2 linked regions of the Lytechinus pictus genome follow. The protein of the gene in region 2 binds, or shares a complex with, the protein of the main gene of each other region. Links are inferred from orthologs where the notes say so. Each region holds a gene or a part of one and is shown on either strand. Other genes may lie near its edges. The genes, in order: regulator of nonsense transcripts 1-like and regulator of nonsense transcripts 2-like.

What was found.
Region 1: the proteins of regulator of nonsense transcripts 2-like (region 2) and regulator of nonsense transcripts 1-like are in contact, whole or in part, in a crystal structure (PDB 2WJV), measured with the Homo sapiens proteins. The link is inferred for Lytechinus pictus from reciprocal best matches to the Homo sapiens genes UPF2 and UPF1. Residues at the interface, in NP_056357.1 of Homo sapiens: Val1105, Cys1107, Glu1109, Asp1110, Phe1113, Ile1114, Ala1116, Leu1117, Met1120, Met1121, Asn1124, Leu1125, Arg1128, Met1169, Pro1170, Phe1171, Val1172, Met1173, Leu1174, Thr1175, Gln1181, Lys1184, Leu1186, Asn1187, Val1188, Pro1189, Ser1192, Gln1193, Leu1194, Asn1197; in NP_001284478.1 of Homo sapiens: Asn150, Thr151, Ser152, Gly153, Val157, Asn158, Leu160, Val161, Arg162, Lys164, Lys166, Pro175, Leu176, Gly177, Thr179, Tyr184, Cys188, Asn190, Val191, Phe192, Leu193, Phe196, Pro198, Asp202, Ser203, Val204, Val205, Val206, Leu207, Cys209.

The regions. Positions count from the first base shown.
Region 1 is NC_087249.1:22,494,600-22,510,844, forward strand, and holds the start of regulator of nonsense transcripts 1-like, read right to left. Parts: upstream 6,184-16,245; 5' UTR 5,938-6,183; coding exon 5,740-5,937; intron 4,242-5,739; coding exon 4,108-4,241; intron 3,739-4,107; coding exon 3,649-3,738; intron 3,003-3,648; coding exon 2,793-3,002; intron 2,424-2,792; coding exon 2,211-2,423; intron 1,569-2,210; coding exon 1,399-1,568; intron 804-1,398; coding exon 708-803; intron 1-707. UniProt on the Homo sapiens protein: RNA-dependent helicase required for nonsense-mediated decay (NMD) of aberrant mRNAs containing premature stop codons and modulates the expression level of normal mRNAs.
Region 2 is NC_087247.1:9,483,157-9,499,004, forward strand, and holds the start of regulator of nonsense transcripts 2-like, read right to left. Parts: upstream 8,207-15,848; 5' UTR 7,823-8,206; intron 5,018-7,822; 5' UTR 4,998-5,017; coding exon 4,021-4,997; intron 3,343-4,020; coding exon 3,147-3,342; intron 2,863-3,146; coding exon 2,815-2,862; intron 2,517-2,814; coding exon 2,355-2,516; intron 1,864-2,354; coding exon 1,612-1,863; intron 796-1,611; coding exon 748-795; intron 285-747; coding exon 115-284; intron 1-114. Other genes in the region: protein MCM10 homolog, read left to right, coding at 8,916-9,147, 10,706-10,900, 11,971-12,153, 12,713-13,082, 15,725-15,848. UniProt on the Homo sapiens protein: Involved in nonsense-mediated decay (NMD) of mRNAs containing premature stop codons by associating with the nuclear exon junction complex (EJC).

The sequences.
Region 1 (16,245 bases), on a different chromosome or scaffold from region 2:
AAATGTGCATCATGTGTTTCAGAACATGTTTCAATGAACTATGTCATTTAAAGAAATTTATCTAAGCATTTATGAAATGGAAAAAAATGCAATGAGATCAGCATTTTTTCCTGCCAAAATTAAAAGGTTTAAACAAATCACAATCACAGCAAAGTATTTCATGATGTGATCGACAGAATAATACAAATTCTAATAAAACCCAACAAAGTGCCTACACGTGTTTGTATTGATAAACATTACGCCCCAAATAATTCCAATACAACAGAATAAGTTGCTCAGTAATTATCATTCACCATCAGACATTTATGTAAAGTTACATGGATTAGACAGAAAGACATGTATCTATTTAGTTAATCTTGTTCTTTTCCTTGATATTGAAGTGACTCTCAACCTATTGCTTGGAATAGTTTTTCTATGTTTGTTGATTATGCCAAATCAATGATTTTTCAGTGACTAGCCAATAAACAATGCATTCTGCCATGAGACAGGCCTTTTCTCCAAGCCATGATATAACACATGCCCACATGAACCTATTCATGTTGGCTTGCATAAACTACGTCACAACTTACCATGATGATATGATAACAGACACCTTGATCTTAACACACCCTTTTTATAAATTGTTTCTTACTGCAACTACTGCACTTGCAGTTGGCTTTAATTCACTTAAAGGCCATACTTTGTTAGCAATATCAATTCAAGGATACTGTCTGGAGTCTTGACCACATGAGCTAAACCAGACCAGGGCTCTCTTGGGTCAGTGTAGCGGACCCTCAGTTCATCACCATGCATCAGCTTCAGATCTGTGTGACAAGTCAAACGTCAATTTCACATCGTCAACCCAAAAGCATTGTTTTTGCCTTTAGAATACACAATGAATCAAATTTCATAACATACTGAAAAATAGACACTTGTTCTATCAAATATCACAATCTATAAGCTTGAATTCTGTACAGGTTGAATTGGTCACATTTATGGACTCCACCTACAAGTACCAGAATCTTCACTCTGATTACTGCTGTTCTATGAAATAATATAACATCCATGTATAAGCCCTCAATTTGGTAATGTTTCAAGTGTTGTCAAGTTTGAAAGTCTATCAATATCAATTTTTTTTACCCATGTATAAGGTTTTTGTGCCATAGAAAAGCAGAACAAAAATTTGAACTTTTAACAGTTTTAAAGAACACTTTAAGAAGAGAAGTGGGAAAATATGAAAAAATTTAGTCAACAGATAATGGGGAGAAATGAGGGAAGTTGACCTTTGAAAAAAGAAAAATCTTCAAAAAATTGAACCCAAAATATATTCTTGATTACAGATACACTGAACCCTTAAGCAAAAAAAAAAAAAAAAAAAATATCAGCAAGAAAATATCGCAGAGATCAATTTTTACTAACCTTCTTTCTTGGGGAAGTTAAAAGTGGCTCTTGTTTTGCGGTTGAGACCAATATCCCAACGTACAGTGACCCCTTCTTGGGTCTGGGTCTCCTTCAGCTTCCTGTCATAATCAGCTTCCATCTTGACAAGAGGTCCAAAGATATTCTGATACATGTACGCATCCTCATACCTAAAACAGAACATAGTATAACAATCTGTTTGAAAACTTAAAAAAGATGTGCTTCCTATTAAAACATTACACCATGCTCTAATATGTTGCAAGAATAAAAACTCTAATCTGCGCAAAACTTCAGTTACTAGATAAGCCACTATGCTCTAATATTTTGCCAGACTGCAGGTCCTAAGATATGGTTTCAGGGGGAGCAGTTGTCTTGAAAACCTGCCCTAATGGAATGGTGTCCTGTGCAGAGGTGTCCACAGGCTATGGTATAAGTCTGTGCTAAAATTATGGGAAGTAAAATATGTTAAGTCTTGTTTACTGTGTTATTTGCTTGTGCTTCCATGGTGAAAAAAACTATTTTTATCATTCCCAGACAATCATTAATGCTTTGATTACCATAGTTTTTAACCTCCACTGTTTGAGATTTGTGTTGCATTGGCTACCCCTAGTTAAACCACTGTTATAGAGCAGAGGTTAATTTAATCTGGAGTGGACCCCACTTTTTAATGTGATTTGCCATTACTGTAAATACCACGGAATCCTTTATTGTGATTGGCTGCGGAACCCCGTTACCGTGGTAGTTGCCATAATGAGTTGTAACTCTTTATGAACTGGGCCCCTGCGATACAGAATGAAGGTCAGTAAGGTCACCTAAGCATGACAGAGGCAGGCTCCTCATCTACTCCTGGTTTCTCCAGGTCCTCCAGGGTGGCCTCTGGGTTCTCCTTCCACAGCTCCTCCAGGCGGTTGAGCTGAGAGGCAGAGATCTGACGTGCCCTCAGCTGCTCCTGCTCAGTAGGGATCTTGACCAGCCACTTCAAGAAGCATCGATCCTGGATTAGAGGCTGCCACTGGCTTGGATCCCTGTGGAGACAGCACACAACATAAATCAATACTGGAGACATGTGAACTGTGGATTTATCAGTATATTAATAAAAACATAGATTGGGAACTTGTATACTCTTTGTGAAATTGAAAACCAAAAACATGAACCATGAAAAGCATGAATTTAAATCAAAACATAAATCAACAAAACAAGAAGCTGAATATTTTTCAACTCTTCTACAAATATATAGAAAATGATTAGTATACAAATAAATACAGGTTGTTGCAACAATATTTCACATTACTATGAAATTTACTAGATACCCCCCCCCCTCTATGATAATGCATCTAAAAGTACAAGCAAAATGAGAAATATCTTGAAAGGTTTCTTCTTGGCGCCATTCGTACCAATTCATATCCTTCAAGTTGCTCTGAGTGGCACAGGGTTGACGGCAGAGCAGAACGACCACAGAGTCGGCCTTGGCTGGGATGAACCCTAGCAAGAAGACATTGCGGCATCCGCAGTTGTAGCATTCCAGAACGGTTTCCCCAAGTGGACTGTCCTTGTGGAGGGTCACCTCCTTGCACTTGGCTCTCACAAGATGGTTAATGATATGGCTAGATAAAATCAAATGGGACAGACAAGAACAGAATCCATGACTCGGTTTGTAAAAAAAAAAAAGAAGAGAGGTTGCAAACCAAAACTTGCCAGCAATTATTCCAGGGGATTGTGTCATGGTTCTATATTTTACAAATAACTGGTACACATGTAATCTTGCACTTATTTTTCCCAGTGTCTCAATGAAGTGGGAGAGAATATACTTTTCTTTTAACCCTAAACAATTTGTTCAAATCATAAGCATTGCAAATTCTGATCTACAAATTCACATTTTAACATTAGCTGATAGGAATTTAAAATGACTGAGAATGTTATTTAGCATCCAAGAATATGAAACAGTAAACATAAATTATGAACACCCCCCCAAAAAAATAAAAGTGGGCAGCATAAAAAAAAGACAAATCAGATTATCTGATATAAAGTTGACTTGAATTGCACCAGATACAAGATGTAGAACTTGAGCTTAGGGGTTAAGGTAAGGTACATGTGAACACATAAAGGAAATTATTCATACTGGGAAGAAAGAATGTAAATTGCAAGAAAACTGAATCCCTACATGGTAATTTCCTTTGTGAAATACAAATTAAAATAATCTGGGGGGAATTAAACTACAGGCTATAAAGTATAAAGATTTGTAGAACTTACCTGCCAGAGGTGTTTCCTCGTCCATTGCAAAACCATTTCTTGGTTCCATTGCAGAGAACAACAGCAGCAGGGTCATGAATGCCACAGTACCTGATGAAATAAAGCAAAACCAGTGATAATTCATCCATGCCCAAGTTCCTAATGAAAGTGCAACTACAAACCCTTGGCCTTAAGGGTGGTTTATATTTTCAGAACTTATACTTCCTTCAGAATTGACTGAGGGAATTATCAAAATTGTAAGATAATCGCTGAAGCCTCTGAATTTTCTTCTTCAGATAAAACCATTTTAATTTTGAATGGAATCTTGACACAAGTGATTCAATCAAAAACATGTATGTCCAATAGTGTAAATACTCAAAGCAGACTAAGTGATAACATTTTGCAGACATTGTGAAGTTATAGTACTCATAGTGGAATTGGTTCAATGATGTGTAATGAGGACTTTGTTTCAATACTTACTTGCAGGCATGGTTGGGCAAATCTTTGGAGAGCACAGTCGCATCTTCTTCATCTTCCTCAAAGGTCAATTCTTTGACCTGTTGTCCTACAGCAGCCACAGACTCATCTATCCCATTGGTTTGACTAGCATCCACCTACATTGCAACAAAAAAATATAAAAAGTTGATCAAACGATGCATGCAAAACTTTGTTGTGTACCAGTACATATGTAGAAGCCTATAAAATGTCAATGATATTGGTAGCAGAACATGGTCAAGGTTCATTTACCCTATGTGAACTTTGACCTTTATCAAGTGACCTGCGAAGTGCGAACCGTACATGTTCCATGAAATAGGTCCTTATACAATCATACTTTTCAAAGTTATGAAATATGAAGACATTTCAGAAACTTTGTTTCATTAACAACTTTAACAAAATTAACGTTATTGGTTAATAAACATGATTAAAGTTCATTGCTCTACTTCTTAATGACCTTTGATCATGATTACATGTTAGTAGACTGAAACTCATGCAATCAGTGGACCCTTACTTGCATCGGCTGATAAATATCATGAATTACGATTCATGATATTTATCGGCCGATGCAAGTATTTTTTATCTCATGATATTGTCGCCATCTATACCCGTCTTTGTAGCTAGGCAACGATAACAAAGACGGCAAGATGGCGATATACTAACAGACTGTGAGTAAACGCTGCTCCACTTTTAATATTTTCATGTAGATTCTATTTTAAGCATAATTGTACTAAAAAAACAATGATTTTTGTTCAAAAGTTGCAAACCAATATTATACTGTAGCCCATTTACAGAAGTTTGGGCTCAAAACCCTAGAAAATTAGTATTATGGAGCAACATTATTGTTGCCCAATTCATCGGTGCGTGTAGAGCAATGACATCCCCTCCCTGGCTCCATGGAGATTCAGCACGTCAGTGATATGACATTCATCTCCAGGCACCCAAGGGTTCATTACACGCCGCCGCGCACAGAAAAATCAAGCCATAGAAGTCGTGTGTTGTGGACCCAAGAAGTGAGATCCCAGCACGCGTGACCCACTAGTTAGAAATCCACTGCCAAATGCGGTTCGTGGTGCGAGGTTAGTATACTAATAATAATACTAACCTCGCAATACGTGTGAGTGATCTCCAGGAGCCTCCTCGCTACATTGGATGGCAAAATTACTAAACTGTCATTCATGCACAGTACTTAGCTGCAACAGAACCAGAGCACTCACACGTAATGCGAGGTTAGTAAGTATTAGTATTAGTAATAGTAGACTATACTAACCAGAGAACATGATTAAACAAAGTTTATTTGAATTTAAAGTCGTTTGGAAATTCTCGACTTTAGCTTTATTTAGTTAATTTATTACTACTAAATATTAGGTCCTAGTAGTACTAGACTCTAACGTTAGATCTAGTCTAGAGTACTAGACTACTCTAAGTTAGGCCTCTAGATAGTAGATTTCCAATTCTAGATCTCTCTTGATGACGTTGACCATGTTGTCATTGTTGACGGAGTCATTAAGGCAGCGATCAACGTCCCAACGACGGTCGACTCGAGGCCGAGGTGATGCCATAGCCCATCATGCCATGAATGACAATGACAACTTTGTTGAAGGTTAGTGATATTACCTGACTCTGAGATTGTGAAGCCAAATCCAACTGGGATGCTTGGCTTTGAGAAGCTTGTGTCTGTGAAGGCAATGTAAAATCCCCCACATTGTAGTCAAAGTCTGTGCCTTGTGTGTCGGCTCCCAGCAGGTCATGTTCTTCCGCATCCAAAAACGTGAGCAAGCTCTGCGAGCTGGGTCCGTAGGCATCTACGCTCATTTTCTCTCCGTTCTCCTTTGTATCAACAATTCAATCAAAGTACAATGAACACATATGGTACGAATGAGACTGCCTCTTTAAATTAATTAATGTAAAATGACTATTCAGCCGTAATATTTTAGATTTCACAGTCCGGTACCAGCATCAAAATCCAGGTAGGCAAAAGGATCTCCACGGTGTCTGTCGCAATGCAATTCCATATACCAAACGCGCGCGCGCACTGGACAGGTACAGTATTTGATTTGCATGCATTTATACACAGAAAATTATAGAAACCAAACGTGTACTTGAAAATGCGTGATGATTTGCGCGCGAGCAACGCAACTTGGCATTTTTAGCCTCAATCAAGTCCATTATTGAAAATAGTGCATTCCTTTGATGAAATAAACAGACGTCTTAAATAATATATATATACTGTAATATATCATCATATAAGGTGTAGGCAGATTCTATATGAACGGTTATGGACTCGTGTTATACAAAAAATAGGTTTATTTTTAAGGATATTGGTTTTAAATATGTACATAAAATTCACATGAGTAAGCACATGACACGTGAATTCTCGCGATCACATACACTTATTATTATGTACATATTTAAAACCAATATCCTTAAAAATAAACCTATTTTTTGTATAATACGAGTCCATAACCGTTCATATAGAATCTGCCTACACATATATAATGATATTCTTTAAGACGTCTTTTTATAGATTTTCATAAGGCGGCTGCCAATTCTTATTGACTTCAACGACTTAAATTACGACATAACTTAGCCTATACTTAAGTTGCAGTAACCTTCTTCTGTGTATACATAGAAGAAGGCCCCAAAAATGACTGAAAGCTTGTGAATAAACTTGATGAACTGAACCCCGGCTACGTTTGATTGCTTTATTCTCGCTGTATCTACATAATTATAGCATCCTCTCAAATATATACTAGAAAGCACCTCGCAATGTATAGGTCCCTGCTCTTCACAATTATATATATATATATATCATATATGCATATTTATGTATAATTCATAACGATGTTAAATTTCTAATATAATGATTAAAAGTTGATCAATGTTTTTTTTCTCTAAACGAGCAGCTGTAAATTAATTAACTTAACCAAGTGCATAATAAATATAGGTTGATTTCAATCTCGCTTTTACTGTCTACACATTTTATCTTGCGAAAAAACTGTTAACTATTATCTCCGCAGATCCTGCCTGCTACTAAATAGGTTCATTATTGCGGATTGAAATAATCGCTAGAGGGTATTCATTTGTCTCGCAATCTACTACCAATATGGTCAACAAGGAAATATTTTCGTCACTTGATAAAGAGTTGCAGCGGCACTCAAAGCTCGTGAACTTGTAAGCTAGTGAACACTTTTTGCGAGAGTGATCACGAATTTCCTAGAAAGCTAGTGAACACTTTTTGCGAGAGTGATCACGAATTTCCTTGTTGACCATAGTAGATTGCGAGACAAATGAATACCCTATAGCGATTATTATCATTATTCTTTTTTTATTATTATTATTATTACAGATGATGTGAGACAAGACTAATTCATCTTCCATGGGCTAGTTGAATGACTGATTGATGAGCTTGGAATGCCTTCATTTGCTCGTGTTATAGATTGTAGATTATGTTTTTAATTTCAGCCCGAATTGAGAGGAAAAACCCAACCACAGTCCCATACACTAGGACCTATACCTCATCATCATCCTATAGACAGAGAAAAGCATTTTCGAAACTTGGACTAAATATTTGCTCGCCAGCATTTCTCTTTAGCGCCAGCTATAGGCTCGGTATTCTGCATTGTATATTTGTTTTGCTAAATCTTATAGTAGACTTGTTAACTGCAAAAAAAGGGTGAACGCTGCATTTTTTAGTACAAATGTGTGCCTCTTGGCATGTATATTCCTTGAACCCATTGGAAAATTTTTATTCAAAGAGACACTCTGTATCTATGCAAATTAACCCTAATTTGCATAAATTATGTAAATTAGCCTCTAAAATGAGTAATTTACTAAAAATGTAAAGCTACTTCATAGAAATGTCAAATTTGATGCAAAGCCTGTGTGGAGGTAGCAAAAGAAAACTAATAAAAAAAAATGCGGTAACCATACATTTCATTACCTAATTTGCATAAATTATACACATTTTCAATAAAAAGTGCCTCTTTTTCAAATGATTCTGGATAATCTAATTTGAATAAAAGTATCAATAAATGTGGTATGTAAATAATAAATCGAGAAATGTGTCTTAGGGTTTGGGAAAGACATTGAACAAACAAACTTTTTGAAATATGCAAATAATCCCTAATTACCATAATTCATGCATAAAGCTGCAAAATGCTCTGAACATTAGAAAAACCGCATTAATAATAAAACATGTCTTACTCGGGACAATCTTATGATGATGAAAGGAAAAGAAACTATACATCATAAAACTGTATCTTTGTAATATTCAATATTTGCGTTAAATTCATTTGTTTGTGATATTCAGTGCATAATTTGCATAAATTATTCAAATTAGTACTGTATGAAGCTTTTGTGTGATTTTGAATGATTTAAACTTAATAAATAATGATATATGTGTTAAAAAGGGTTGTTATAAAGTATTCGGGCACAAGGAATTAACTACATCTATGCAAATGACCACTTATTACCATAAATACATACTAATGAGTTTACTTATACTAATTCCATGAATAGTGTAAAACACTTCAATTACCAAAAATTAGGCATTTTATTCAAATGGCAGTACTAACGTTCTATGGATGGAGGAAAAGAAAACATTTATCCATCAATATTGTCGTCTAATTTGCATAAATTATGTATGAATTATGCATAAATTGTCATACATTATGCAAATTCGAATATAAATGGCTAATTTTCGCAGTTTATATCTGATTCCCAATTATCATTGTGGCACAATGAAAACTAACGTTCATTATGACATGAAAGAGAAAAGTAAATACAGATAGAACAGTTTGTTGGGTATATAACTACGCAACTTTTCATATTATGCTAATCACAGTTGATATAATTATATAGTTCCAGACAATATTATTTAATTGCTTGTATAAACTAAATTGATTCTCTTCTAACATATACATAGGGGTTATATTTACAAAAGTTGGTCCCACAGTTAAGAAACTTTTAGAGTTTTAGAGTTCACGGTCTAAAACTTTTAAATGCTGCCACAGTTAGCAAAACAAGTTTTTATATTTATGAAACCTCCTCTGCTCTTGGTAAAATTAGAGAAAGACGGAAAAGGGCATTATTGCAGTTTTTGTACTTAATTTTATTCTGGTTTCTGTTAATGCGTATTTTGAGCCGTTTTAGTCAAATGAATTACCTACATACGATGTCATTTATAGGGAACTCTGCACTTCAAACATTTTCTTATTTATGCTTATTATTTTGTATTATGTAACATTATATTCTGTCAATTTATTTCTTGTTATGTATGGAGAAAAGTAAAACATTGCTTTGCATTTTACATGCAATGACGTTCTGGTATCCAAAGCCTAACCCCATTGGGAGCCTCTAGAAGGTACTCCCCACCCCTTTCTCAATATCAAGAGTTATATAATTTTTATTCGAAATTATCGCTATCATTTCCACTAATCTTTTGACAGAGGACTAAAGGTTGCATTAAAAGACGTCCTGGTACATTGAAGCCTGTACCATATACTATTTCTTGTTGCTTGTCAAAGTAGCCCCATCACTTTCCTTTGACTATATAAGTCTATTTTAAGTATCCTTTTAATAACGCCCCTTCTGTGAAAGGGGCGCTTTTTCTGAATATTAAATCAGCTTATATTTTCATCAACGTCCTAAGAAGATAAAGGAGGCATAAAGATTGAATGAAGAGAAATCCTGACAAATTACAGCCTATCCCCATCGAAACCTATATATAAGAAGTTACACGACTAATTATCTTATTGATTACATTTCTGCAAATTCTGCTACACTGTAAAACCACTTCAATACTCATTGTTCTCTTGGATAAGAAATAGAAGACCCTACTCTAGTGGTTACATTAGCATTTGGAACATCAAAGCATTTCCCAATGGGAGCCCCCATGGCATTTCTAGTACACGAGCACACATTGTTCGTAACATAGACATATTCTTTCAATTAGATGGGTATTGGTACATTTTCCACTATCTTCTTGTAATGTAATACTAAATATGAGGTTCCATTGGAAAATGTGCTTTTACTATACATAAGCTAGCCATGGTAACTATTAAAAAGTAAGAGGAATGCTTTTGGCCCCAAAGGGGATTTAAAAAGTGTAGTATGGAAAGGAGTGGGGAACCATGAAGGTACGCTCTGTACCATGAATTTTCTACATGCTACCTGTGAAATGATGCCTCCTATATTTATCTATAATATGTAATATAATATGTAGAATTGTGGGGGGGGGGGGGTACTTCGACAGGCACACGATGTTGGATATGTTTCAATGTGCCGGATTTTCTCTACCTGTAACTTGCAGACAGGCAGAGTGTCCCCTCTATGTTTTTAAAAATCAATTAAAAAAAAATGGAAGTGACTTTTCCATGTAGAAAAAAATGACGGTTGTCCCAATTGAGAGTTCCAAAAGGACGCTGGTTCAAACATAGAGTCAAATTCGGAATGAGATGTAATACTTTCGACAGGCAGGCTCCTTTGTAGAATAGGATGTAATTAACTTATAACATGAAATCGACAGAGCAACGCCACCTCTATCTATTAAACAGAGGTTCGATAAAACTAAAATTTGCTTTATTAGGTGTTAAAGATGCCTTTTTGCCACCGTGGGGGCTACAAAAAACATGAAATATTTCAATATAGTCAAAGTATAGAAAGAGATGGGGAACTAGCTCCCTTAGAAGTAGGCTTTAATTTGCCAGAATTTCTTATTTTCATATAGCCTGTGCACTAGAACAATGCCTCCTCCAAGGCACTGTGAACGATTTTAACAGGGGGTGCTGATGTAAATTTGAAAAGCAAAAAAGGTTCAATGTAAAATTTTGGTCCCAAGAAATTTAACAAGCAAATAAACAAAAAGGAATGCACTACAAAATGAAGGTTATTTTGGTAACGTTTTTTTTTCGTTTTGTCACATCTGCCGGAATTCCAGGGGGTGCTGTCTATGGAGGATAATACACGCAGCAACCCCCCCCCCCGAAAATCTTGCGGGTGCTTCAGCCCCCGCTTCCCAGGGCCAGGGCCTCTATATAATGTAGATGCTGCCTTTAATAAGTGCCCTTTTCAAGATGAGGGCTTCATTTAGACGATATTCTAAATATATATTGTCAAAACAAAATAAAGGGTTGGGCAACTTCGACAGGCCACCGTCATCATGGTCATGTACACGAACTTATTTTATGCGATATAAAACAATGCCTTCTATGTTGTTTTTTCCAAGAGGAGAATGTAAAGCGGCTTTACTGTGTAGTAGAAATGCATCTTTCTTCCGACTGGGCTCTAAAAATATTTAAATTCAACATAGAGTGGAATCAATAAAGGGGTTTCAGCAGTTAAGAGTTTACGTGTGGCTGTTCTTCAATGTACCACAGCTCCTCTACATGTCACTTGTAGAGTATTTTCTCCTTAATCTATTCCAAGATATCAATACAAACAAAAATAATCTTTTGAGAGTTCTAAAGACAATAAATTATTTTTTGATACATAAAACCAAAAGGGAAGGGGTATCCTAGGCATGCTCCTGTTGGGTTATAGCCTTTACTATAATAATAATAAATATTAATATAAAAATATGAATATAAAAGTTGCTTTATTATACCAAAAAACGCCATTTGCCTTGCCGGTGGATCTAAAACACGATATTTTTTTATTTAGTGTCGAAATATGGAGGGGATGGGGTAAATTCGGAGGGCTCCCGTTGGCGTAGGCTGAAATAAACCAAAAACTTTCTTCAGGAAACATGTTGACTGATGTCTCATACATCTGTCTTTTCCAAGTCGATAATACAAGTCAAACTGGTTTTGTAAAGTAGCAGGAATGCCGGGGGAATGCAGTTTTGCCACTTCGGGGTCTCCAAAAGATAGATATTTTAATACAGTTAAAATATGGATTGAGCTGGGGGTACATTCGTCATGATACATTTTTGAAGTGCCAGAGCTTCATTAAAGCAGTAACCTGCAAAGAAATGTCTCCTGTAAATTTTCCAAGAGAAACAAATTAGAAACAAATAAAACAAATGGTGTTTTACCGATACCGAAATGCATTTTGCCCGTATATACCATAGATTAAGATTACGGTGTGGCAGACACACCAACAAAAGCGATACGAGAAGCCGATGCAAGCTATTGTGTTAGGATTGTGTTATCTCAAATGACATACCATTGATCGCTTTATTGTCGGATTCGTTAGTGTGACTGGATATAGAGGTTTGTTTTGGTCTCGTTTTAGCGCAATATCACGTAATACATTTTGACATATTTTCCCTCTTTCTAAGCAAATTAAGACACTAATACTGTCATGGAGCATATCGATGTTTTCGCTAATATATTCTCTTTCATGCAGAATGTTGATATTGTGCATTAATTGCTGTTATTTATAAAAACAGTTCAGGATTCATGAAAAAATACTCTGTTTTAAATCATAATTTGCATAATTCATGTAAATTAGGTAATAATAAACAAGGATATCCCAATCATTTTATGACAATTTACTTCCCTTTCTTACCCTTAGTCTTTATTTCCAATTTTAGGGCAGTTCTGGTTAAATATATATTCTTAAATACCTGTTTTCACTATATCGACATAATATGTAAATTTATGCAAATTACTTGCTTATTTGCATAGATACAGCGTGTCTCTTTGGATGAATCTTTTTCTTTTGACTCAAGGAACATTTGTGCCAAGTGGGACATTTGTACTAAAAAATGCAGCGTTCAACCTCTTAACAAGTCTACTATTATGCATGATGACCAAAACGATTCGAATGAGTCAATCATTGGATGTGTGATGGGAAAGGGTTCCAAGCTAATTTATCGAAGTCCAACTCGGTGAAACTATTTAGAATGGTGTATTTAAATCAATAAAGTCCCACCGCATAAGCGCACCCTTTCGGCAAAACCGGGGGGGGGGGGGCTTTGGTATATAGAAGGGTTGGATTCCTCTTAACGCCATGAACGCGACGCACCCTCACCCACCCTTTCGTTACAAGAGTATTTACCCCCTAGATAAAAATTATTACCATCACTTCAATCTAATCGTATCCAGCTTATTTTCTTATACATTTGTACCGAATAAAAAAGAAAATGCAATTTGGCGTTTCCGAGTCATCGTACAGGCCTGCATTATCTTACGGGAACACCCACACGATAAGGAGATATTTAAAAGTCACATCACGGCGGAAGTTGGACAAATAAAATCTTTCACGCGTTCTTAGTTAGGTGTCCAATTTGCGACGGGAAATGAGAGGCATATTAGGGTTTGAATGAATATTTCATGACATTCGTCGGCCATATCTTGTTTAACCGAAACCCCAAATGAAGCGATCGTTAATACAAAAAGGTCGGTTCCTAGAACTATCCTTTCGATGGTAAGGAACTTCTATAACTTTCACTTTGCATAAATCGATAAGTTGCTGGGGACGAGACCCGTTGCAAATGCTAATTGAAACCAGAATGCTTGTATTTTTCCTCAGCCAAAGAATGTTTATATGTATGGAGAAGTATATAGGTGATGCAATGGAAAGATCGCATTTTTCACTGTTTGGTGGACGATAGGACGGGTTTTTTTTTTTCCCGAATGCTCTTGGTTATTTTTCATGGTTTTTAATGAAAATTATGAAATTGTCCTGGTGTTGGCGTACACATATATTGCTAAGATTATTATTTCAACGTGAAGAAATAATACTAAATTCCCCATCACATGTAAAAAAGTACTGGTACAACAATGTCCAAAACAGTATCAATTTCCCAATGTACCTAATATAAAGTGATATTAATATAATTGTGTAAAGTCTACTCCACTGGGATGCTGAGTTTGAAAAACATTTGAAAATTTCATCAAAATCGGATTATATATAAGGTTTTCATGACTTTTCGACATTTGCATATTTCACGAAACAATGATATACACATCATTGGTTGAAGTATGAAAATAAGGGAGTCGAGGAAGACACACTCTCAAAATACACATCTTATTTTGTTATTTGATATGTAAAATATTAAATTTTCCTCCAATAATCTAAAAATTGGTTCATCACAAACAATGTACAATGATTGTTATTGTAAGCATAATTTATTATGAATCAGTGAAGTACGGAGCCTTTAAAGTGCCATCGACTTGACTTGGCGAGATACTTTATCTTGCCATGTCGACATAATAACCTTACTATGTCGGCATGGCGAGATACGTTATCTAGCCAAGTCGACTTATAAAAAGTTATATGTCGACATGGCGCGATACGTTATCTTGCCAAGTCGACTTATAGAACATGATATGTCGACATGGCGAGATATGAAGTGTCCGAGGCCCGGCGAGAGTCCAAATATCTCGCCAAGTTGACATATAACTTTTTACAAGTCGACTTGGCGAGATAACGTATCTCGCCATGTCGACATAATAAGGTTATTATGTCGACATGGCAAGATAAAGTACCTTATCTTGCCATGTCGTCAAGTCGATGGCACTTTAAAGGCTCCTTAGTGAAGAATTTCTTTATCGTTAAAGCTATAAAATGTAACTATATGAGATATCACAAAATAAGAACGAAATATTGAATGTGTGACATCCTCGTCTCTCTCATAATTTCTGTTGCCTAATTCTTTTTTTACAGTAAACGTAACTAAAAAATGCAATACCTTTCTTATTTCATAATCGATTTTAATGTTATTTAGGTGGAATTGATATTTCTAACTAATTCACTCGTCAGAAATTAAATTTATCAAAATTCGCCGTTGGGTTATAACAATATAGTAACAAATATGTTTTATTATGATTGATATATAAACATTTTTGTAAATTTATCAGGAGAAAAAGAATAGGAGACTTAAAAAAAAAGTTATCTATAATATTAATTTGTAAATTGTATATCTTTTCCTGATAGCCCTAGCCAATTTATTTGACAATGAAGCAAAATACACGGAAAACTATTCACGTTAACAATCTTAAGGATATGCACCTCTCAGACTGTAAAAAGTATTGTGTAAAATTTTAACCAGCACCAGGGTAATTATGTGTCCAACCAATTTGGGGCAGTATTTTACCCAATAAGGAAGCATATTGTCCAGTAAGGTTAAAAAATAAGCAGCAATTACTTTAGAATGGGCAAAATTTTCACCACACTGGATAAATAAAAATGCCCAAAAAGAAATGCCCAATGTTGGTTGGACAAATAATTACCCACATGGAGCACTTTTACCCAATATTTTTTAGAGTGCAAAGACATCCCCATTCACAAAAACCAAGTGCACAATAAAATGTAGGTATACCGACCATGCTTTTAACATTGTTAAAATAATTATATAGGCCTAGAGAAATATAAAATTCTTCACTCAAAAGTGCCACGCTGGAAATATACACTAACCCACAAGCGTACTCACCCACCCCGCATACACATTGCACACATCCCATCCTCTTATACATATACACACACACCCTCACACACATACACACCCTCACCCACACACACTTGTAAACGAAGACATAGAAACGTCTATCTATTATCTCTCATCCAGAGACCTTCACCTACAAATTAATGTCATTATTTATTTAGATAACAGCAAACCGCTTAAGCAACAAAATGCTTGTTTTGATGTGGCCACAAGTACCCTCTCGAATAATGCTCTTCATATTTCATCTGCTAAGATCACGGTTATTATCGCTCTCTCATAACGACGACAGAACATTTTTGAGAAAAGCACCATCTCAGATAAATGCTTAATACGCTCTCTTAAAAAAAAATAAGGAGCGAAATGCATACGCTCCCAAGCAGATCTGAAGTCTGCACTTCCGCCGTTTTTGACCGACTTCAATTTCCCGCCAAAGAGTAGATATTCGATATTTAACCTAAATATGCCAGGAGACCTTTATGTATGGATGGCCGCCATCTCCGAAAAAATGGGATTTAGTGTCTTCGGATATTCTATCCAACAATATCTCACTCTTAAAAATGTTTGAAATGAACAGTTAACTTAGAGCAACCGCAATGCTGAGTTCATTATATTTACCAAGTATGAAACAACCTGTCAAAATTTACACAATACATTACATCATCTTGTTTGATTGATATTAAAAAACGGAAAGAAACATTTGTTTTTTTAATATTAAGTATTCATTATTTATG
Region 2 (15,848 bases):
GAAGGTCTCACATATAGTGGGTCGGTCATACATATTTTATGGAATGGCCCAACAGTTGAGTTACAGCTGCAAGTTTCTTGCAGTGCCTCGTTAGTCCACAATATCATTCATTACCTGTGCTTCCTAGCGATGATCCCTGCAAAATCTTCTCCACAATGTTTGGTGAAGCTGATGATGATGGTGATATAATTATGATTCTCCCTATCTCCTTTCATGATGGCAGATAGCTGGTTGTTGAGAAGAGGCAGTCCTTCCTTCTCGGTGAAAATCCCATTGACAATAAGCTACAAGATGGAAGATAGAAATAGTTAAGATTATTTATATTTGAGATTGAGAAAAGATAAACAAGACATTTAAAAAACATTGAAAATAAGCATGAATAGATTTAATATATCAATAATCTTCTTACATCAGAATAATACACCTATTTGTGTGATTATATGTATCATCGTTTTTAAAAAGGAGCAATATCTGAGTTAGGGAAGTGGTTTCGTAAACTGGCAACACATGGAAATACACCAAGTCAATATACTAGTATGATAATGTCCTTTGGCAGGGTTTTAATCATGGAGAGGTTCCGAGGTCATTGATTCTCTAAATGATGCTTTACAATCATCCATGCTTTCTTTGCAGTCTTGTAAAACAAACCAAAATAATTGTCTCCAGAACTAAAAACATTTAAACCTTGAACATTAATTCAGCTGTTGACAACTACATTCTTGAAATTGTATCATGAAGGATGCTCACCTCAGCAAGGAAACGTAGTTCAACTCTGATCTTGTTATCAAATACAACCTGTACAATGCATTAAAAAAAGAAGGAAAAAAAGAAAAGAAAAGGTGACCTAAAAAACATGTAACATGCAACTTCCCCCAGTTACAATAGGTCTTTGATGCATAATCACCAAACCTCAAGAAATTTACGATCCTCATCATCTAATCTCTTACAAATTCCAGTTGCTAAGAAATCATGCGGGGAACGGGCCTTTGCTCATGCAGGGCCTAGCCTGCGGAATTCTCTCCCACACAGTTTGAAAACCCAGACTTCAGTGACCACCTTCAAGGGCAACCTGAAAACATACCTGTATAAGAGTGTTTTTTGATAGACATTGACTTATTGTTCAGACATGTATTATATGTAAATAGTTTTTGTTGTTCTGCTCTGAAGCGCCTTGAGCATCTAATCAAGATGGAAAGTGCGCTATACAAATCTCATGTATTATTATTATTAAGAAGAAATGCCAAACTTCAAAAGCTACAACACTTGAGGTAAGACAAACAAAATTATCTGATATATCTGTCTATTCTAAACTACAATCTTTTCATGAAAACATTATTTCTTTTAGCACTACATCTAGAGCCAGTCTTGTAGAAATATGCTTTGAAATCTTTTGTAAGAAAATTGTAAGAGAAGCAATAAAAATACCATGAAACACGAAAACCCTAAGAAAAGTATAGTACAGGAATGCACTACCAATAATTCACTTAGAAATAAAGAAACAAGACTGTCTTCATATCCACACTTCCTCTTACCATACAAATCATCTAATAAGGAATAGCTGTCATTATGAGAAGATAAGCCTTGAGTAAATGTTTTTGTGTTTGTTTATACCTGCTGTTTGTTCTCCTTGTCCTCTTTTTTGGATGGAGCAGGGAGCACCCTCTGTAGTCCTTGTAGCAACTGAGAGGAGAACTCCTCATAGCGAGTATGAAACAGAGAGCACAGGTGAACAGCAGAGGCAATGTCAGACATCTTGAGCTTGGCTTCGCTGAAGGCTATGGCAGCCTCTCCGACATACTTGGTCAGGTTGAGCCCCTGGAATTCCTTGGTCAGGGAATCTTTCTGCTGCTCACTCAAAGTTTTCTGGAAGGAAAAAAATATTAAACTTTCATACTTTTAAAACTTGTACTCCCAATCTAGAGTAATTCTGTGTCAGCACTTGGTTGGTTAGCGATTACCCAAGTACGATAAACATTGAAACAACAATATGTTAGATTCAGAGTCATATATCTTTAAGCAGGTGCATGGCTATTCACAAACAGTTTGTGAATATTTCATCAATTATTCCATAGGGGCACTCAGTAATGGTGCATACCACTTCCATGTTCGGCTTAATAAACCAATCTACAGCCACAATATCTGTAGATATCCCCCAGATGGGGGTATCAACAGGGCTACTTACCAACTATGCCCAAGTCAGTTTGTATCATATTAGAAAAAGAAACAGTTCTATAACGTTTCCATGAAATCCCTATAACTGCAACTCAGTGAATGCAAATGAGAAAAGAGAAAAATGAAAGCACCTTCAGAATCATTTCACATCCCCAAAGGGAAAATTGAGATGAAATCCTTACCAGTTTTCGAATAAATGCAGTGTTTTTCTTGAGACTGGAGTCTAGCTTGACAAAGGAATCTTCATCAGGTCTCTCAGAAGCTGCAGAAAGATTCTTTGCTCTAAGAGCCATTTTAGCCTGCTTCCTCTCCAGTGCCTCGGCATGAGTATCCCTTGCATGTTTCTAAAAAAAAAAATATGTGAAGAAAATGAATAAGGTAGAAATATTACTCCGAAAAATAATTACACATTTATTTTTCATATGAAAATAATGCTTTATGTCATTGTAATTTTATAGAAATGAATATTAAATTCCAGTTCAAATTTGTATTATCCACTTATGAACTGCATAAATAAACACAATTAATATCTCCAATCATAACAAAGCAAATTAAACAAAATTTGTATTTTACAAAAAAAAAATGAGATCAATGAAATAAACACAAATTGCAGAAAAAAAGTCAATCAAATAATTATCTCACCTCTTCTTCCTCCTCTCTCTTCTTTGCATTTTCTTCATCCAGACGTTTCTGTATTGGAAAAGGAAAGAGTATACACACATCAACGGGTTATAAATGTTCACTGAACTAGAAAGTACGAAGAACTTTTTTTTTTCCTTTCAAATACTTTGTAGATTATCCATAACATATATTCTTAAGAAAACAATATCTGGATAAATTATTTCTATCATTTCAAGAATAAACCAACTTTCAAGGAATTAAGAAAGTGGTTGGTGAGTATTGTTTTTGAAGTATTAACTTTAGCCAACCTTCAATGAATGTGAGAGGACACTATCAGTTTTCACTGCCATTACCTGCTCTTCGGCTTGCCTCTTTTTCTCCTCTTCCCTTTTCACTTTATCTTCTGCTTTCTTCATTTCTTCCTGTATCTTTCTGGCTTCATCTTCCTTCTTTCTTTTTTCCTCATCTTCCTTCATCCTCTCCTCCCTCCCCCTTGATTTGTGATGATCTTCTTCTCGTCTTCTTGATCCTCTGGAATCAGTTTCTCTTCTGCAAAATTTACAAAGAGGGCATTAACATGAAAATAAACTACAGCCTTGGTGGTTTCATAATAGTTCTACAAGGTACTACACAGAAAGCATAAAGAAAGAAATACTAAATTGAATGGAATCATACAAACTGGAAAACCTGGAATTACTAAAAAGTGCATTTAGAAGGTAATGGGAAAGGGAAAGTGAAACAAAGATATGTCATGTGTGTGGTCTCTCATTAAATGTGTTATAAAAACATAGTCTTAAAATATATGCTTTCCAGATATCTACTATACTACAGAGAATAAATTGACCAATAATCGTATTTGTATAGAGAAACTAAAATGTTTTGAGAGGAAAAGTAATTGTTTTGCTACTTGGTAACATAATTATTGCAGTATAAATGTATTAAGTACGGTAGTTAATTAGCATGTTATCATTCAAGTGGGTCTATATTGCTAGACTAGACTAGCATTATGGGTCAGGAAACTGGCTAGGTATGAGTAGTTGAGGACTCGAGATGGCGATATTGGTTGGTATCTGCTTTAAACAAAGATTAGACTATGATATCTATTGTACTACCATGAAGAATAACAAAAATTGTTCAATTAAGCTTTCACGACAGTACTGCCAACTGATCCCCTGAAGGCAAATTTGGATAACTTTCTTTCAAAGAGGAAAGTTCCTGTCAACTCACCTTCTTTCAGAAGATGTTTTGTCTTTATAAGGGTCTCCTCTTGGCTTATCTCTGTCCCTGGCTCTCTGGTTACCTCTTTCACTCCTAACATCACTTTCTTTCCCTCTCCTATGTCCAGTCTGCCCTCCCTTCTTATCATCATATCCACTTTTCCCATCAGAAGCCTTCACTTCAGCAGAAACCTTCCCATACTTTTTCGGTTCCTCTTCTACCTTCTTGCCAGTTCTGCTGCCAGAACGTTGGGCAGAGTAGGACTTTCCTCCGCGTTCTTTATTGGGTGGGTCAGTTTCTGCATTGCCTTGACCACCAGTGACTTTCCCTGGTCTGTCCTCAGCTGATTTCTTAGGCTTATCTTCACTTTGCTTATTTTCTTTGACAATGGTTGTGTCAGCTGCCAAAGATTTCTGTTCTGCCTTAGCAACCCCATCAGACTTTGTATCCCCTTTACTGTACTGTGCTTCAGATTTGCACTGCTTATCATCAACTACAGTGTCACCTCCTTTCTCTTCTTTACGTAAAGTAGCATTTTCTTTGTCGCATTCTATTGAAATTTCTTTTGAAACTTTTGGCATAGGTATTGGAATGGGAGCAATGGTTTCCTTATCTGACTTGTCCGACTGAGAGTCACTGCCTTTATTCATATCCTTCACACCATCATCGTGCGCTTGCTCTTCACAATCCTTGGATGCAGTAACAGCATCTTTCCCGTCATCCACAGCTACAGAAGAGTCCTCAATGGTCTTTGCATCGCTTGATACTTGGTCATTCCCCGCTCCGATCTGTTCTGGTTCAGTATCCTTTTCCTTAGGGCTGGTGTCTGTATTGCAATCTTCTGTGACCAACTGAGGCTTTTCATTCGCTGAACTATTCAGATTTGGAGTTTCATCTCCATGATCGTTAGTCTGGTTTCCATCCAGTGCCCTGTCCTCTGATTGTTCTTCTTTCACAGCAGCCACCTCTTCTTTCAGCAGATCCATTATTCTTTCATATATTCATCCTGGAACAAACAGAATAATGAAAGTACCTGTTAATACAACTGCAGAGCAAAGAAGAGCAAACATGTCTGATGTTTAGTAAGAAAAGGAGTTTACAGTATGGTGATAAGTAATAACTCCATTCTTCCCACCAATTTTGTTATACAAGACAAATAAAAACAGCATTTACAGATTAAAAGTATATCCTGCCTTCCAAGAATCAACCAGTAATTCATGGCCAATATCGATTACAATTTTATAAGACGATTAAAAACTCATCCCATCAAGGTGTCATCCATAAAATGAGAGTTGTTTTGTTTACTTTCTAGGACTGTCTTCATATCAAGTTTGATAACAAGTCTGTAGGCTGTGGGGTGATAAATCTGACAAAAGAGATGGTGAGCTAGGGGTACAGATCTATTTATCTCAATCTACATCACAGGCATGAGCCTTTAGCTTAACCTAAGCTACACAAGGAAGTTACAACTTGATGCAGAGTTACAACTTGATGCAGAGGTCCAAGGTTCTACAAAGAAGAGGTATAATGCATTTAGAACACTTCTTTCTGCCATTGATTGCTCTTGGTCGAGTGGTAAAAGGCGTCAAGTAAGAACTCTTAAAGCTGTACTGTCAGACTGGTAAGGGTTCGAATCTCACCCTGTTTGATGATTAATTGTATCAATTTTTTCAGTTGTAAATAGAAATAGCATTTATTCTGTTGAAAATAGACTTGACAACTGTAAATTTTGGCAAAAAACAAGAAAATTGACTAAATATTCATTTGGTCTAGCTGATTAAATGGCAGCTGGGCATAGAGCCATACAATGTACAGTAGGCCCTAATCACTCCTAGTACCAATGAGGTCAATACATAACAGTATTGACCTCATAGGTGACAATAGTGCATATACAAATTGGTGCATGCAACCACAGTAAACACACTGATGACGACAAGGCTTGTAGCGGGGTGAGCTGTCTAGTGATTTTATTATTTTTTTCTTTTCTAAATTTAATTATGAACTTTTGAGTGAAATTAGTTATTGCATATTGCAGAGTAGATATCACAAATTTATCTAAGGTAAAAATTTTGAATAAATATCTGTGGAGTTTGGGTATGTGCCGCGGAGGGGACCCCCATTTTTACACTCAAATTTCCGTTCCAAGGCATAGCATTTTTATCTTAGTGAGAAAAAGAACAAAGAAAGCCGCTCCAAAGCAAAACATTTTCTTCTTATCGAGAAAAAAAGAATAGAGAAATCCGTTCCAAAGCTTCGCATAATTTTCGTTACGCCGTTCCGGCCGCATTGATCTGCTACAATGAGCTGCAATTTTGGTGAAAAGCAGCCGCAGAGCGCTTTCCGACCATCGCCTCTGCGAGAGCGCACCCGGTGGCTGGGCAAGCTGCATGCGCGTATGCCCGTTCCATAGAGATGCATACGCACTCACACGCAGGCGACCCGTTCCAAGGACCCCCGTTTTCACAAACATTTGTTGCTCCGAAGCCCGTTCCGAGGACCCTCCTTTTTACAATAAGCCCGCTCCAAGGCCCCCGTTTTTTGTTTCGACCGCGGCACATACTTACCACTTTTTTGGTCGAGTACCCCCACCCCCCCCCCCCCCCCCCGGATGGTTTTGGGAAGCGCATTCCACGCAGTCACTGTCCTGGGAAAATAGGACCAGTGTGTGTGTGTGTGTGTATTTGAGTTTTGTCAGACGTGTATCAATCAGATATGATTATTTACGTCTGGGACCGACCTTTAACGTCACCATCCGAAAGACGTGACCAGGGCTCGAACCTCGAACCTCTGCATCAATTTGTAACTTCCCCACAGCTTGGATTACAGGCGCACGCCACAACGCCCAGTGCTGTATTACCAGTGGTAGATTTATGGTGGCTGGGCCCCTTTGCAAAATATTTGTGAAACAAAGGAATTGCAGAAATCTAACAAGCTTAAAAGCCTTAAAAAAAAAAGACTTAAGTTATGGTAACGATTTCAAAATGAGTTCGTACAGAATCCAATGAAACGACCACCAAAGTGTCTGTTTGTATAAATAAAACATATGTGCCAAAGCCAAGGATTCTGGAAGAAATTGTATAATTGCTGAGAAATTAGCAAATAAGCTTGGGATTCGGGTCAAGCGTCGGGCCGACATTCAAAGCAATAATAATACACTGTCCCACGTGCACTTATTATCTGTGTTGGTGATCTTCAGTGTGAACATTTTTCAGCGTAGATTTCAAGATTTCACAAAGTTCAGTTAATGTAACTGTACCAGATCTAGGTCCTCGATGATAAAGTGACAATTAAGCCTGGTTTTACTGACTTTTTCGTGAAATCAGTGTTTACTGCAACTACTTTCATTTATCTTTAAAAAAATTTAGCTAATTTTTAGGCTAATAATAAAGTTTTTAAAAAGTCATGAATATTTTTTCAAAATGCAAACTTCCTAACAACATTACTCATTAGACCCTAACCTGTAAACCATGGCATGGGCAGCTTAATCATGCAGATCTATAGTCTTGCAGCAATCAGCAAGTTATCTCTGACCATAATGGATGAAAATGGAATAGAAAACATTTACAAAACATTTCACAACAAACGCAATGTCAATGAGACAGAGAAGGCAATCACATCCAACCACACAAAAATTGATATACACGGGACTACACTGGCAAATAAACATTTAAACTTTACTCTATCAGAGTATTTCCATTATTTACAACAATCTCTAAATATAAGTCAGTCGGAATTGGATTGGTATTAAAGTTATTTTGGGGTACCTTCAATAATATAAATTAGTTATAAGGAGTCAAATTTCAGATCTTACGAGTATTGTTGAGGCGGAATCAGCGATCAATCCAAAGGTCAAAAGGCTTTTCCACACATCCGGTCGGCCGGCTGGATCGGCGCGCGCAAAACAAAACTGTGTTGTTTCTGTTGTTTGATGATTGAAATTTACCGCGACTGGAATCCCTACTGACAATTTCTTGCTGTATCAAATTCAAAGAGTCAAAGTCATTTCTCAAATTATTATCGCAGACTACCACATGCAGATGTACTCCCATGAGCGGAGGAGGAAGTAATAACAAGACTTAAGTTGAAGTTCAGTTGAACTTGTCTCAGACTCAGGCCAGGGCGCGAGGGACAACGCGAGCTCCCTCCTCTCGATCGCGCCGCGCCTGTCGGGCCCGGTCCGGTCCTACATTAGTACATACATGTACACCTGACATGGTCCTGGGTCGTCATTTCACCCCGGGTACAAACTGATCAAGCTCAACGAATCATTGGCCGCACCGCAGTACTATAAAGCAAGGTAGATCTACTAATACATAACTATGACTTTTATCATTAAGTTGATCCTAGGAAATTGTTATCAACTTAAAGTTAAATAATTTAATCAAGCAATTAAATTTAAGCCAACGTTGGCAACAAATCTCACTCAGCAAAATTTAGTTAAGATTTGAATTTAACTTTTAAGAATGTTCGTTGGACGTTACTTAACAATAACATGCTTAACGTTACTTAACAGGCTTAACGTTAGATCTAAGCAATATTATTTAGACTTAGGCTAGACTTAGAGAACAAAATTGAAGAAAATTGCAACTAGCTAGTCTATCAGCTATCAATCATGCCATGGAAATTTGAATTCATATATTTTTTTGTAGATCTTTAACAGTTAGGCCTAGATCTAATAGTAATACAAATTAAGACAAAAAAAGGAGGCTTTAAAGTTTTAAAGTGTCCAGACACCTCACCCCCACCCCCATTCTACTAAACTAGTCGTTTTGATCTTTATCACTACGTAAACTTAAAGACATTACGACTTGAGACTATTTCAATTTGCATGCCGATGGAAGACAGTACAATTGCCATTGCAAGATAACACATTTTTTAAAACTCAATCACATGTTTTGATAGCAATGGCAGGTGAGGATTATGGAGACGACCTTGATGCTCTCACTTCACTCCTTGATGACGAAGATGATGCGGATCCATATGATAGCGGTGATCCTTTCTCAGTAAAGAGCGAACACTCGCAGCAAGTGTCACAAGCAGTCAAGAAGCAAGGTACCAGTCATGAAAGGAAAAAAAGATCCGTTGGATCCAGTCAGAGCAGTGGGGATGATGAAAAGTCAAAAGAAGAGTTGATAGGTAGGCCTGCTTGTTCTTTTTTTATTAATGTTTAAGCATTCTAAGAGATTATAATTATAATAATATATAAATAATATAGGATTTGTGTAGTGCACGTATCCACCTTGCTAGGTGCTCAAGGCGCTCCTATATTCCCCGGACAATCTAGTCTACCGATTCTGGTGCGCACAGCTTTGTGAGGAATTACTTCCTGCCGGCACCCATTTACCTCACCTGGGTCGAGTGCAGCACAGTGTGGATAAATTTCTTGCTGAAAGAAAACACGCCATGGCTGGGATTCGAACTCACTGTTTGAAAGGCGAGAGTCAGAACCACTAGACCACGACGCGCCCACTTATGAGGGGAGTATTAAAAAGCTCTCCTAAAACTTTTAAGGGGAGCACTGCAAAAAGCTCTTCTTTGACATACAAATGGAGCTGTTTTGTCCGATTACAAAATGGATGGAGGAATGAACACTAAATTGCAACCAACAACCAAAGGAGATAGAAAAAATCAGATGCCCTTATATGCTTTTCACACTGCATTTCCTTAATCCCATACTATCCTTAACCCCATACTATCTTTTTTTCGATTCACACTGTCTTTCTTAACCCCATACTATCTGCTTAGCCGGGGCTAATGCCTTAACCCGGACTATCCCTCAGCTCATGAATATTGATGATTTTACCATACAGAGCGTGATTAACGTGCAATTCGACTTCTGTGATTGGCTAATGCTTAGCCCCACTTTCCTTAGCCCTGTTTTGTTTTCACACTGCATCTCTTAGCACCGCAATTGTGGTGCTAGCACCACAATAAGCCGGCTAATCCTGCTTTTTTGCAGGGCCAGATAGTACCATACTATTTACCGTGCTAGCCCACTTTGCTAAAACGTAGTGTGAAAACGAAGTGGGCTAAGCTTAACCCCAGGAAATTGGTGGGGCTAAGACCCCCCCTTAGCCCCACCAATTTCCCAGGGTCAAGGAAAAAAGTGCAGTGTGAAAAGCATATTAATATATATACAATATTTATCTCATTTCAAGTGTGTGTTATTGCTTAAATATACTTGTGTAATTGTGTCTTATTTGTAAAACCTTGACTGAGAATAAGGTTGGCACTAACAGTTCAATCATTGACTGACACTCGTTCTACATTCAGGTTAAGTGATGTCAGAATAGAGATTATACATGGAAGTAAAATGTTGTATACATAATACAAAGTGTACATGTGTGATTTTGCTTGATTTCTAGTTTTACTGCATTTATAATTTTATGTCACAAAAATACATTTCGCTTAGGCGAGCGATAAATCGCGCTACCTGAAATGGATGGAGGCGAGTGGTAGCGAGTGATCACTCTCGCTCCCCTTAAAACTGAGTCCCTGCATTCTGTGAGGGAAAATCTGTATTTTTATATGCATGATTGTTTATTTTTTTTTTAAATAGTATTTCTGACTTTCTGTAGAGTTGGTATTTGAAACTTTGCTGATACATGTTGCTGAAACTTTCCACTCTCTCTGTCTCTCTCCTTTAACATCATGGCATGGTATAATTCTTTGCGCCTGTTGATTTACTCTACAGAGGAACTGCAAAGGTTGCGAGAGCAGATGGTTCAGATGAACGGAGGTACCCCCACTTCATCACAGAGTAGCTGTCCAACCAAGCCTTGTCCTAAAAAAGAAACCTTTTCAAATGCACTCTTTGCTGACCGAACACCAAAGCGAAAGCAAAAGAAAGATTCTTCGATTCCAGCCAAGAAGGAATCTCACAATATAAGTAAGTCTCATGTAGCAGTGCCTCAGTTTTTTCTGCAGTCATTTCAGTTTCCACTTAATTAATGAGTTCAGGTTGCAAACTTTATTAAGTGCAGTAAAATACTTAGAAGTGTGGATTAGGTGTGTTATGTAGTCTACAGAACTGCAAGTTTAACCCTTGGTAGTTTACCAGCCACCAGCACATTGGTTTATCATACTTTGTCCATGAAAATTTCTTTTGGGCCCACTTCAGAAAGAGCTTAATTATAGTAATTTTGCCTTAATAGTAACTACCATGGAAAACTTGATTTTGATTGGTTGATGATCTCTTTTTCTATCTTTGCCATTCTTAAATTGTTTTCTGCCTATGAAAACAAATTGTACAGTGCGTCTCGCAAAAAAGGAAACCTGTTTTCAGAGATAGATTTCACAATTATTAAACATGTTTTTAGTTTACTATGAATTTGATACTTATGTTAAGAGTGGAATCTCATCTTTAATGTAAGACCCACAGCTTGGCACATCATTCATGCATGTTAGATTACAAACAATAAATATTGAGGCCTATCAGAAACGATTTGTGCAGAAACTCACGAGTTAATCTGAATCCACTCTTATTTCAGGGATCAGTCAGAGAAACTGAACAAAGAATACAAAAGAAATGCTAATTAGCCAATCGTTGAATAAGCACCGTGTCGTATCATGAACCAATCTTGTCCAAACTTTCTGCGCAACTTGATTTTGGCATTAAAATTTCAAACTCGTCTTGCTCATTACTGCATGGAGTGTTTGTCACATAGTAGGTATTAATATGTAGCGGAATAATTGAATTGTATGATGATGTAAATGAAATATCATAATTAATTTGCCTTTGAAGAAAAAAGATGTTGGAAACCCGGTTTCCTTTTTTCTGGGACGCACTGTATACTGGTAATTGCAATTTGTTTAAAAGGACTTTCAAACGAACTGTTCCAGATTAACAATCTGCTTTTCTATAGTGGAACTTGATGGAGAATAAATGATTTAGTGAACAGTTGTATATCAGATGCTCATATAATTATCTTCATCAATATTTCTTCTTCTTTTTTGTAGATTATGAAGATTTTGATAACGAAGACGGACTGTCAGACTTGTTTGATGATGAGATGGAGGTTGAAGATGAAGAGAAGAAAGATGTCCGCAAAGTGACGCCACAAAAGGCCGAGTCCCTCTTCAAGAAGACCAATAAACGTCATGCTCACACCCCTCAGACTGCAACAGCTCCTCCTAAGAAAGGTTTGTATTTCATTAACCAACCTTGTATCCAAACTTAGTCTAGTCTGTTATTTTCTTAACTAAAACTCAGAAAAGTTAAAGTTAATAGCATATCTCTTGTATGATATTCAAATATGTCAAAAGTTCAGCAGCTTTTCATGATTAGTTTATAACCAGAAGTATGCATGTCACAGTTCTTCAGATGCCTTATTATATACTGGCTAATACTGCTAAAGTGTCTCAAATTTTTTTTTTTTAATGAAGTCTCATCAGTATTCAGTTTATCTTATACCTTATCACTTTTATGTATAATATTGACAATGAAAATATATTGATCATGATGATATTAAATATAACCATAAGAAATGTATATTGTCCACATTGCTTCTCTCAAAATCAGTCAATAACATCATACTTAGATCCAAATATCATGCCCTCTTGTTCAAAGCAATTGCAGCATTTCCTTAGAATGGTATGCCTGTAGTCATAGTCCTGCCTAGTCATGATCTCTGACTTTTACTGTAAGATTACTTACCTTACCCCTTACTAATCTCTTCATCTCTCTGTCTTTCATTTACAGTGTCTCCTTATAAGTGCAATTTATGTGACCAAACCTTTGACAACCGACAAGCCATGACGGTGCATGAATTCAAGCACAAAGTAAGCCGATACAGCTGTGAAGTCTGTCAGAAGAGCTTCACAAGCAAACTCCAACTGGAAACTCATTTCAGGACTCATAAGACCTCTGAACCCAAGTCCCAGTCCAGTCCGCCAGAGCCAAGTAGTAAGGCTAGATGTGGTGATGGGGCTATTGGTGGTGTGAGTAAAGGCAGCAGCGGGGATGGAGGATCGCAGAAGACGATGCCACATCTTGGAGCGGGATCAAAGCGGAAGCAAATCAAAGAGGAGGAACAGTGCGAGACAGAATACTTCTCAAGGATTCGCATCATGTAAGTTGTCATTTTTTACAGAGTACCGAAGTGATGACATCACAAAAAACTTTTTTTGCATTTCAACGTTTTTGATACCATATTTTGGTAGAGCATGATGAAAACCCCCCACTACCAAAATTTGGTGGGAATCGGTCCATGGGGGCCTTAGATATGACCTTATGAATACATAATTAGCCCGATTGAAGTCAGTGTATTATTGGCCTGGTTCTAAATGTTAGGAACCAGGGGGACGTTGCAGAAACAGTTGCATTTAAACGCAAGTAAAAAAAAATCAATCGCAAGTCCCAAATACGCACTGATGATTGGTTGAAAATCAAGTTGCACATGATTATTAGAGTTGCGATTGATTGCAACTCTTTCTGCAACCAACCCCTGGCCAATAATACGTTGACTTTAATGGGGCTAATTATGTATTCGTGAGGTCATATCTTGGGGCCCCATGGACCGATTCCCCCAAATTTGGGTTGTGGGGTTTTTTCATCTCTACCAAAATATGGTATCAAAAACGCTGATATGCAAAAAGTGAAAATTGATGACGTCACACTTCGGTACTCTATTACCATTTGACCTGTGGCCATTTATATGATCTTCTAACAAATGTATACAGTATTGGTAAACTCTTTCTTTCAATTTTATTTTACTGTTACAAGAAGTAATTTGCTGGATTAGAAGGATTTCGCGTCTTTACACTGGTACTAAGTGTACCTTAGGATGAAAAAAAAATCTCAAAATCCATTTCTCACATATCAGCAAATTATATTTGTACAAGGAGTATGATCAAATGTAATTCAATAACACTTCAGATAATTTTATACAATTTATAAATGCAAGATATCCATTTTCTTGAAACAGTCATAACTCATAAGTCCAAGACCATGTATATTCCATGCAAACAGGATTTCGTTTGTATGGGATGTTCATTAACTCTAATGAGAGTCAAGAATCAGGCCTTAGGATTAAAGGATAAAACATTTTTTTAAACTTTCCTGTAGACATTAACTTAGTTTTTTAAATGGAATAAAGACCTAGAAGTCATTTTGGAATAAGAACCAACAATATAACTTATAATACTAAATAGGTTCATTATTGCGGAATGAAATAATCGCTAGAGGGTATTCATTTGTCTCGCAATCTACTATGGTCAACAAGGAAATTCATGATCACTCTCGCAAAAAGTGTTCACTAGCTTTCTAGGAAATTCGTTATCACTCTCGCAAAAAGTGTTCACTAGCTTTCAAGTTCACGAGCTTTCGAGTGCCGCTGCAACTCTTTATCAAGTGACGAAAATTATCTGATACGGTAGTCTATTTATACCAATCCCCAGGACTGTACGCAGTTGCGTAACTACGGGGGGGCATGGGGGGGCACGTGCCCCCCCAATCGGCTGACCAAAAAAAAAAAAAAAAAAAAACGGGGAAAAGGAGAAAAAGAGGGAGAAAGGAAGAGAAACGTAGTGGGAAAAAAAACATTATTGTTCATTATAATGTTATATTATTTCATAATAATATGTTATGTTATATTACATAAGAAACATTTTTCATAACTTAATGAAACATAATTTGCTCAGGGCCTATGTTTTCATTGCTCCTGATGCTCGCATTGTCTGTTTACCGAGATATATAACCCTGATAAAAACTAAAACCTCCCGTTTTCAAGTCAATATATACCAAACTGCCAAATATATTTCCTCGCACTTCGAGTTATTGTTTTATGTACAATAGTATGCTTCTTTTTCATGACTAAAGTGATTGCCCCATTTTAAGGTCTTAATATAAAACATTTCCTGTCCGTGCTTACGTTAGCAGTAGCGGATTGGTGAAATATGTCTGCTCTCAATGAATTCCTAGAATCAGTCCTTAAAATGTTCCTTTTTCTGATCTGAATATCAAAAATTTTCACCTCGCGCTCGCACCGTTTGGTTAGTGAACTACGTATGGTCTTCGTGAATTCCTACAAACAAGCCTTAAAATGCCCTTCTTCAGGTCTGAATTTCCTAAATTTTCAGCTCGCGCTTCGCGCTCGCAAGATTTGATTAGTGAGATGGGTATGATGTTAATCATGATTACAAGTGCTTTATGTGCATATGTTTAGATGTAATTCTAACAAAATCAGCAAGCGCTTATTGGCACTCGCATTAGATGACTATGGTGAGATGTGTATACTCTTAACGGATTCCTAAAATATAGTCCTTAAAATCTTCCTGTTTGGGGTCAATATTTACAAAAATTTCAGCTCGCGCTTCGCGCTCGCATTATTTAGCGAGACAGGTACATATCATGATTACAAAAGAATTTTATAATGTCCTTTTTTAGGTCTGAATATCAAAAATTTTAAGCTCGCGCTTTGCGCTCGCATTATTTGACCAGTGAGATACATATCCGTTTAATGGCACTGTCCTTAAAACGTCTCTATTAGGTCAGTATACCTGGCAACTGGGCGCGCTGCGCTCACTAAGTGACTCAAAATTTTTGCTCGTGCCCCCCCAATGCCGTGACCCACGGTACGCCACTGACCGTACGCACGAAAGCGGGAACAATAGGTGGGCACTGATCCGTTATATAACTTATATTTGTATCTTTTTCAATTTGTAGGATGTATTGTTAATGGTATTTCTGTTCTATATTGTTTGATTTATGTAGAAATCCTCTGGTATCTTCAGCTGTGATGAAAGAGAGGATGAAGGAACGTAAGATGATTAGAATGAGCATTTTAAATCACTACTCCAAGACAGGAGCACTGGAAGGAGACTGGGTGACGATGGGT